Linked DNA regions of Tribolium castaneum. The protein of the gene in region 1 interacts with the protein of each later gene in a pairwise test. Links are inferred from orthologs where the notes say so. Each region holds a gene or a part of one and is shown on either strand. Other genes may lie near its edges. The genes, in order: Naa35 and N-alpha-acetyltransferase 30.

Region 1 (4,353 bases):
CAATAAAATACACCTACCTTCATATCGCTTCCACGTTGGCTACCGTTTGTAGCATTAAAAAAAATAATAATAAAAATGAAACCAAAAAAATGTTTATTTGCATTAAATTTTGAGCAAGCCACTTTCATTCATTGAAATTAAAGACAAAATTATTACGTGGCAATTAATTATTTGAGTGTTTTATTTTATTTATAGTTACTGTATTTAAAATGTGTCACTCAAAATATCACTTTTCAACACCGCATTTAAAGATTTTAATTGCATTTAAGTTTTATGAAATTATTGGTTTGTGAAATAAATAAATACGACACAGCAATAAAATACACCTACCTTCATATCGCTTCCACGTTGGCTACCGTTTGTAGCATTAAAAAAAATAATAATAAAAATGAAACCAAAAAAATGTTTATTTGCATTAAATTTTGAGCAAGCCACTTTCATTCATTGAAATTAAAGACAAAATTACGTGGCAATAAATTATTTGAGTGTTTGATAATAATTTTATTTACTGTATTTAAAATGTGTCACTCAAACGCGATCACTAGCCACCGAATTGAAAACTTAAACCGGAAAATTTAGATTTGCTTGAACACACGTCCGTTCGCGACAACGGCAAGTAACAAACTGAATAAATTGAACGAAACCGCACAATACACAATAATTTAAATAAACCGACTCACCTCGCTTCGCCTCGCCTCCCGCTCCCGCTCGCGATCTGACCCGTACCACTGCTCGCTGTCGACTGAACCGCCCTCGCCGCCTGCGCCGCACACCTAACCTCGGATGTGACGTCATCACACGTCTAAAACAGGTCATAACCAGAAACATTCACTGTTCAAATCCGTCAAATTTAGAAACATTCATACACAGAATTATTCAAAATAGAACAGTATTGATCTAGAAAAATTAATTATGACAAATGTATTTGTGTATAAACGTCTAAAATTATAAAAGTTTCGCATGCAGTTAATGGAAAAATAAAAATGCATGTTTATATTTAAACAGAAACTGGCAATGTGAAATTTTAGTGCGAAAATTAGTGGTAGAGCTCGGAAACTCTGTAAACGACCACGATAGGCGGAGCCAATGCGTACTTCATCGAGTGAGGAGATTGAGCAGTGGCGTAGCAAAAAACTATTCTATGATCAAGAAGGGTTTGAGATTCATAATTTGTAGTAGTTAAAATTTCCTCTATTCAATAATTGCAAGATGAAATAGTAAAAATCATATCTAATGCTAATACACTTGATTTCCTAGAAATACAAAGCAGAGAGGTCGAATAAATAAAAATACACAATGAGTAAAGAGTAAAAACGCGTTTATTGCAAAAAATGTTTCTACTGGTATCTTTACTATAACTGGTAATATTGAAATGTTAAACTTTAAGACGAATTTCCTACACATGTAAGTACACGCCACGCCACTGTTTTCTGCCAACACCCCTAATTTAAAGATTGGACTCGTCCGAGACGAGTTTTCGTCTCTGCGCACTCCTACCACCGTGGACGATCTGTCATTTCGCGGACTCTACCAATATTAGTAACAAAAAGGGTTGTTGCCAACCTGACGGCGAAGTCACATAATCCCAGACAAATCACCTAAAAAATTATGGAATATTCAGATTCGTGAGTATTTCTTCCCGAATTTGCCCATTTGTTGCAATTCCGTTTCAGGGAATGTAACGGGGAAACTTTAGATAAGATATTGATGTACAAATGGGCTGACATAACCTCAGAATTTAAGGATGCAGTTATAGGTATTTTGCACCAAAACCAAGGCAACAATTTTTTGTTAAATGAGAGTTCCAGACTTAGGCATGGGCGAGTTATTGCACGACAATTTGTTTGGGCTTTTTGAGGCCATGTCAGCGATTGAGATGATGGACCCCAAAATGGACGCTGGGATGGTTTGTAACAGGGGGGCGCGCAAAGCCAAGACACTCAGCCAGACAATTGAGGTTACAAGCTTTGATTTTTTCCCAAATTATAATTTTTTCTACAATCGACATAAAGTTAACAGATTGCTGTTATAGTAATGTCATCTCACGTCTTAAAAAAAACGGGCAACTAATACCAAAAAAACGCAAAATAAACGGCTTATTTATAATAATTATAATATATATATATAATATAATATACTTGAATAGTATATTAGAAACAAGTTTTATAAGACGAGTCTTGAAGTACGAATTCAACTTCAAAAACATAGTGGCGTCAGCCACTAGCTATTTGAATGAATGAGTGCTTCAAGATCTTATGAAACGAATTTTTTCTACTGTTTTTTTTTGTAATTTGCTCTTTTTTTACCGTTCTTAAACAAAAATCGATATTAGCTATTGTGTTACAGGAGGGTATATTGCAATTGGATGATTTCTCGTACGAAAAAATGATCGGGATTATTGACACTACACTGGCTTGTATCGTTTCGTGGTTAGAAGGTCATTCGTTGGCTCAAACCGTTTTCACTAATCTTTATTTACATAAGCCTTACAGCATAGAAGACAGGACTATGAAAGCTTTCTGCCTCATGGTGTACAAACTATTGGAAATAATTAAGCATTTTGTGCACAAGTGAGTAATGCTGAAATCAAATTTGTGTTTCATTTTCTGGCCATAGAGCCATGGTTTACGAAGAAGAGGACTTCCAACCGATGCAATACGGCTACCACCTCAATCCTGACATCTCCGAACAGAGAATTATCGGAATGTTACGCGAAGTTGAAGAGGAATTACATCGGAAAATTCGGTCGAAACAATCATCTGTAATTACAGGTCCCTGTAATTGTTTTATCTAAATTTGTTTTTTTAAGAGTGAAATTCAAGCTGTTCACGCACGCATTAAATTCATGCGAGTGTTTTACCAAGCTTTGACGCTGATGAGGCGCGAGGACCAGCCCCCTGCCATCACCGACTGCCAAAGACTGCTGCTCACAGCGTCTGACCAATTAATTATCATGAAAGAAACGGTCGATTTGGGGCTCCAATCAGGTTAAATCTTGATTAAAAGTTGCAAAAAAATCATATTTATCCTAATACTAGGTGATAACGAGTTAATTCCGGGCTTTGAACCCTTAATAAACCAGCGATTGTTACCCCCAACGTTTCCTCGCTACACCAAAATTAAGCCGAGGGGCGAAGCCCTCAACTATTTCTCAGACATGGTCGACAGGTTTAAAACCATAACAAAAATCCAGTCAATAACGTCGCTACACCAAGTTATAGTAAGTTGGTTTGGAAATCAATCGCAACTATAGTTTTTTTGGTAGGATTTCTTCATTGATTTTAGTAAAACTAGTCCGTGTTTGCTGTCTCGGTCAGCTCTTCAGTTACTATATCAAGGTATGCCCCAAAATTATTAAAACTGAAAATATTTTGTTCTCACAAAAGTGCTGAGAAATTACCTAAAACTGGATGAAAAACAATATTTTCAGTCAATTATTCCGTAATTTTGCCACTATTTGAATGTGTCATAGGGACAAACCCGTGCGCCTTGCGTGACATTTTAAAGGAAGCAGTGAAGACGTTCATATGCCCACCTGCGTTGGTCTCAAAATCGATTCTTTCGAACCAACAAGTAGTGTAAAAACATTGTTTTTTTGTCAATAACTTGTCTATTTCTAGGCCAAAAAATACGTGGAGACGTTTTTGGCTCATTGTACGCGACCTTTCGCTAGTTTTTTACAACTTTGTGGCCACAACAGGGCCAGACAAAGAGACAAGTTGGCTCATTTACTTGAAGAGTTTACTAATCTACAAGATGAGGTAATTGTGTGATTATTAAGAGTAAGAAATAATTGTTTTTTCTAGGCTGAACGAGTCGACGCTTATTTACATAATATATCGGTCAATTCGACCTCACGGCCACATTTGGCATGTTTCGGTACTTGGATTTTGTACCACACGCTCAAAATTATGATTATGTACTTACTGGCAGGGTTCGAGTTGGAACTCTACAGCAGGCACGAATATTACTACATTTATTGGTAATTTTAATGCTCTTTTTCGTTAAATTATTCAATTTGATTAATAATTTGGATACGAGTTCAGGTACTTGAGTAACATTTTACCCATTTTTTAAACGCCACAAGAATAATAAGTATAAACTTAGCATTTGAACGGTTTCAGGTACTTGTACGAGTTTTTATACGGGTGGCTGGTGTCGGCCCTTTCACGGGCTGATAGTTTTCTAGTCGAAAACGAGCTCATAAACGAGTTACAAAAGTCGAAAAACACGTCGAAAAAGAAACCGAAACACAAGAGAAAACCAAGGCCCTACAATCGGGACATTGTTTATTACCAGGCGTTACAGAACATGTGCGGCGGTTACTACAAAGTAAACATTGCGTATTAATTG
Region 2 (3,821 bases), on another chromosome or scaffold:
AGCCCCAAAAGCCTTTAAACGTAATAATTTAACAATTTTCTCCACTCCTCTAATTTGTTCGCATCAGATGTCCCCAGGTGCTGTTAAATTGCGTAGTTGGCTCAACAAGTCCCTCAGAATCCAGATGTTTGATGGCCGTGTCTTAGTCGGTGTCTTTCTGTGCACTGACAGAGACGCCAATGTAATTTTAGGTTCTTGTACTGAATATTTACCAGCTGAGGATAACGGTGATGGTACAATTGAGGAACCAAGGATGCTGGGTTTGGTAATGGTACCAGGCAAACATATACAGAGCGTCGCAATTAATCTAAATCAGCACAATGCAGGCGAATTAAGTGCCCCCTTAACTAAAGACATTAACCCAGAGGAAGTTACATAGAGTTGTACCTTTGCAGTGCTTTATTTATTGTGTAATACAAAAAATGCGTTATGTGCAAGTGAATAAATGAAATATTAGCAAAAATAAATATAATATAATCTGTTTTTTACGCTATAAACAGGCAATGTCATGATAAACTCTTCGTTTCTCGAATATTTTAACACCATCTGTTGATTTGTTTGGGATTCTGAAATAAAAAAACGTGTTACTGACTGATTAGTTTTATTGAAACTATATTTACAAAGCAGTTATTCTAGAATTAATAAACAAAACAAGCTAATGTTCTGGGCTTCTCTCATCAAGCGGTTCGTACCCGTGTTTTTCTATCTTTTCCTTGAACTGTAGGTAATTCCGTCTTCGATCAAAATGCTTGACCCACTGAGCTGAGCACGATTTTTCGTACAGTTTTCTGAATTCGAGACATGGTCCTCTGTCATCTTTACTATCAATGATTCCGTTTTTATCTAAACACTCCCAATACCGATCCCGCGCACCCCAACACAAGTTGCGATCTTCCTTCGTTGGGAACGACATGACTGAATAAAATAAATTAATAGGAAATTTTTGGCAAAATATTGAGAGTTTAAGTGAATCAAATAATTTAAAAATATTTCCCTTTCTAAAAATAGAGCGTGCTGACAGTCGTGATAATAAATCCGCACTTTACGCAAGCAGGGGACCCACGTGCGAAAAGTATAAATAAGTGTTCTGAAGTGTTTTTCGAAAGTGGCGCGTGGGTCATGTGTACCAATGGAACGAGGCTTTATGTAACCAGACATTGGTCAATCAATTTTCTTAGGTTATGTTTAGGCCAAGTTTGAATGGAATTAAATAACTTTGCGGCAGGTGAGTGGGGTAACTTTGGTGAAGGGTAGTGGTAAAATGGTTACCTGATCAATACGCGCAGTTGAGTCAATTTAAGGGGGCCCTTTTTCTCCTTCCAGGAAAGAGAAAAAATTGACAGCAGCAAGAGTGGAAATAACCTAAAAATCCCTGTTGATTTTCTGTCAATATGTCTGCTTTAGCGAGTTTATTTTAGAGCAAAAGTAAAAAATAATTTGTATTATGCTATCATTTAGATTATTTATTTGCAAAGCAAGAAATAAATGGGAAAATGAACAAGAACGGTAATAAGATAAATAAATCAAAAAAGTGCACTTCAACGAATTGTGAACCAAAAAATGATCTAAATGGAAAGGCGAAAGATACGAATTTGAAAAAGAAGCACTCGAAGAACGGCTTGGTGAACGGACTAGTGAACAATGCACAAGACTCAACCAAAGGCAGCGGCAAGGAGCACATAATCCCCAGCAACAATGAAAATTCACATAAAAGTACGCAACCTAAACCACAGAAAGAAACCTCAAGAGACAAAGCGCGCGAAGACGAGGGCATTAACAAAGACTTGAAGTCGAAACTTACCAAATTAGATTCAAATGACAACATTTCGAATCACGAAAAGATGCTAGACCCCAGTCAGGAATCAGACGTATCATTTAATTTAAGCAATAATAGTACAATTACGAACGAGGACTCGATAGCGTCTTGTAGTAATAAAGCAACTAGTTCTAGCGACGACAAAATATCAGACATAGTGGAGGACCTGAAGGGTGTGGAGCTGGCGCCCAAGCGCGAGCTGCCACCCATTCAGTACGTTCAGTACGAATCCGAATTGCAAATGCCAATGATTATGAAAATTATCCAAAAAGACCTTTCCGAACCCTATTCCATCTACACCTACCGGTACTTCATCCACAACTGGCCGAAACTCTGCTTTCTGGTGAGTCTCCAAAACTCACCGCAAAATATTTTTGGTTTTCTTCAGGCAATGTGCGAGGATAACTGCGTGGGCGCCATCGTCTGCAAGCTGGACGCTCACCGCAAAGTGCTGAAGCGCGGCTACATCGCGATGTTGGCGGTGGACCAAAACTACCGAAAATTGGGCATTGGGTCCACCCTGGTGCGGAGAGCTATCCAGGAGATGATCGTCGGCGACGCCGACGAAGTAGTGCTCGAGACGGAAGTGACAAATAAACCGGCTTTGCAGTTGTATGAAGCCCTAGGCTTTGTCCGGGACAAACGTTTGTTTCGATATTATTTAAACGGCGTCGATGCTCTGAGGCTGAAACTGTGGCTAAGATGAGGATCTTAATCGGTGAAATGGTTGTATTTGTTGCCATATGCTCAGGGTATGGTGTGAGTTTGTTAAATTAGTTGAATATTCAGAATTTTATTCTTGTTGTTTGTTTGTTGTACGTTCTTTTCTCATAAACGCCAAATTCGTTCGATTCAGACGTCTGGACTAGAGTTTGTTTGTCTTCCAAAGATGTAGTCCAAAAAGTAATAAAAATAGTTTCCTTCGAAATTTTTTTTATCTTGCGCATCACCACCTCCATCGGTTTTGTACGTTGATTTTGTATGACTTAAGTGTAGATAAATGAATGTGTAACTTTGGATGTTCATTTAATCAGGGTGTCGAAATATCTGAGCTTTTGTAACAATTTCATACTGACATAAGCTGAGGAAAATATTTAAACTAGAATTACTGATGTGTGCTTACATGAATGTTTCTTTTTAATATATAGAACATTGTTTGTCAGTAATTGTAAAAACTGTATATAATTTTACTGTATGATAAAAGCATTAAAAATGTGTTGTAATGATTGAATAATATACCAAAATTTATAAGGACCGTTTATTTACATAAAAAAGACATTTGCTTACAAGTCACTTTTTCTTATTACTCAACGCTTCAGCTTTCCGTTTCACTGACTTTACCAAAACACTCAACTCGGCATCTTTTTTCATCGGCTTCTCCGTCATTTCACGTTCGCTATCGTCTTTCCGCCTTTTGATTTTCTCATTTATTAGTCTCTCCATACCTTTCGTCTTCTTATAATGGGGGTCCGTGGGATCAATATTATACAAATGACTCGTAAAGAGGGCAGAGAACCGATCATCATTAACATCGACTTGAAAATCGTCCTTCTCGTCTGTTTCTTTGAGTTTGCGTTTTTTCTTACTAGTCGCTTCTTCTTGCTTCTGAATTTTCTTCAAACTGAAGTGCTTCTTATTATCGTCATCTTCATCAGCCAAAAGTAACTCCAATTCAGGATTATTTTCTTCTTCCGACTGAGATTTCTTCTCCTTAACTTTCTTTTTCTTAAATTCGGGATTGTTAAACTCCTCGGCGAAATACGGATCGTTCATATCAATATCAGACGGTACATCATCCGAATCTTCATTTTCCCGCTTCTTCTTTTTCTTCTCTTTGCGTTTTTCTTTCCGTTTATCGAGATATTTCTGGAATGGTGTCTTTTCTTCCTCATTTTCAATCTTCTTCTTTACCAACTTTTCGGTTTTGTCCTTCAAATCGATGCCCCAGCTCACTTCCATTTCCACTTCTCTGTTTTTCTTCTCCTGTTCTTTCTCTTCGATTTCT

The links.
Region 2: the proteins of Naa35 (region 1) and N-alpha-acetyltransferase 30 interact in a two-hybrid assay, tested with the Drosophila melanogaster proteins (2 studies listed by BioGRID). The link is inferred for Tribolium castaneum from reciprocal best matches to the Drosophila melanogaster genes Naa35 and Naa30A.

The regions. Positions count from the first base shown.
Region 1 is NC_087403.1:266,732-271,084, reverse strand, and holds the start of Naa35 (N-alpha-acetyltransferase 35, NatC auxiliary subunit), read left to right. Parts: upstream 1-1,392; 5' UTR 1,393-1,608; coding exon 1,609-1,625; intron 1,626-1,673; coding exon 1,674-1,756; intron 1,757-1,808; coding exon 1,809-1,957; intron 1,958-2,346; coding exon 2,347-2,570; intron 2,571-2,616; coding exon 2,617-2,761; intron 2,762-2,809; coding exon 2,810-2,987; intron 2,988-3,038; coding exon 3,039-3,220; intron 3,221-3,265; coding exon 3,266-3,338; intron 3,339-3,472; coding exon 3,473-3,573; intron 3,574-3,620; coding exon 3,621-3,761; intron 3,762-3,806; coding exon 3,807-3,982; intron 3,983-4,123; exon of another isoform or gene 4,124-4,124; coding exon 4,125-4,332; exon of another isoform or gene 4,333-4,353. UniProt on the Drosophila melanogaster protein: Auxillary component of the N-terminal acetyltransferase C (NatC) complex which catalyzes acetylation of N-terminal methionine residues.
Region 2 is NC_087402.1:5,497,382-5,501,202, forward strand, and holds N-alpha-acetyltransferase 30, read left to right. Parts: upstream 1-1,493; coding exon 1,494-2,159; intron 2,160-2,204; coding exon 2,205-2,522; 3' UTR 2,523-3,070; downstream 3,071-3,821. Other genes in the region: Sbat (N-alpha-acetyltransferase 38, NatC auxiliary subunit), read left to right, coding at 1-20, 68-379; cytochrome c oxidase assembly factor 6 homolog, read right to left, coding at 656-913; ESF1 homolog, read right to left, coding at 3,107-3,821.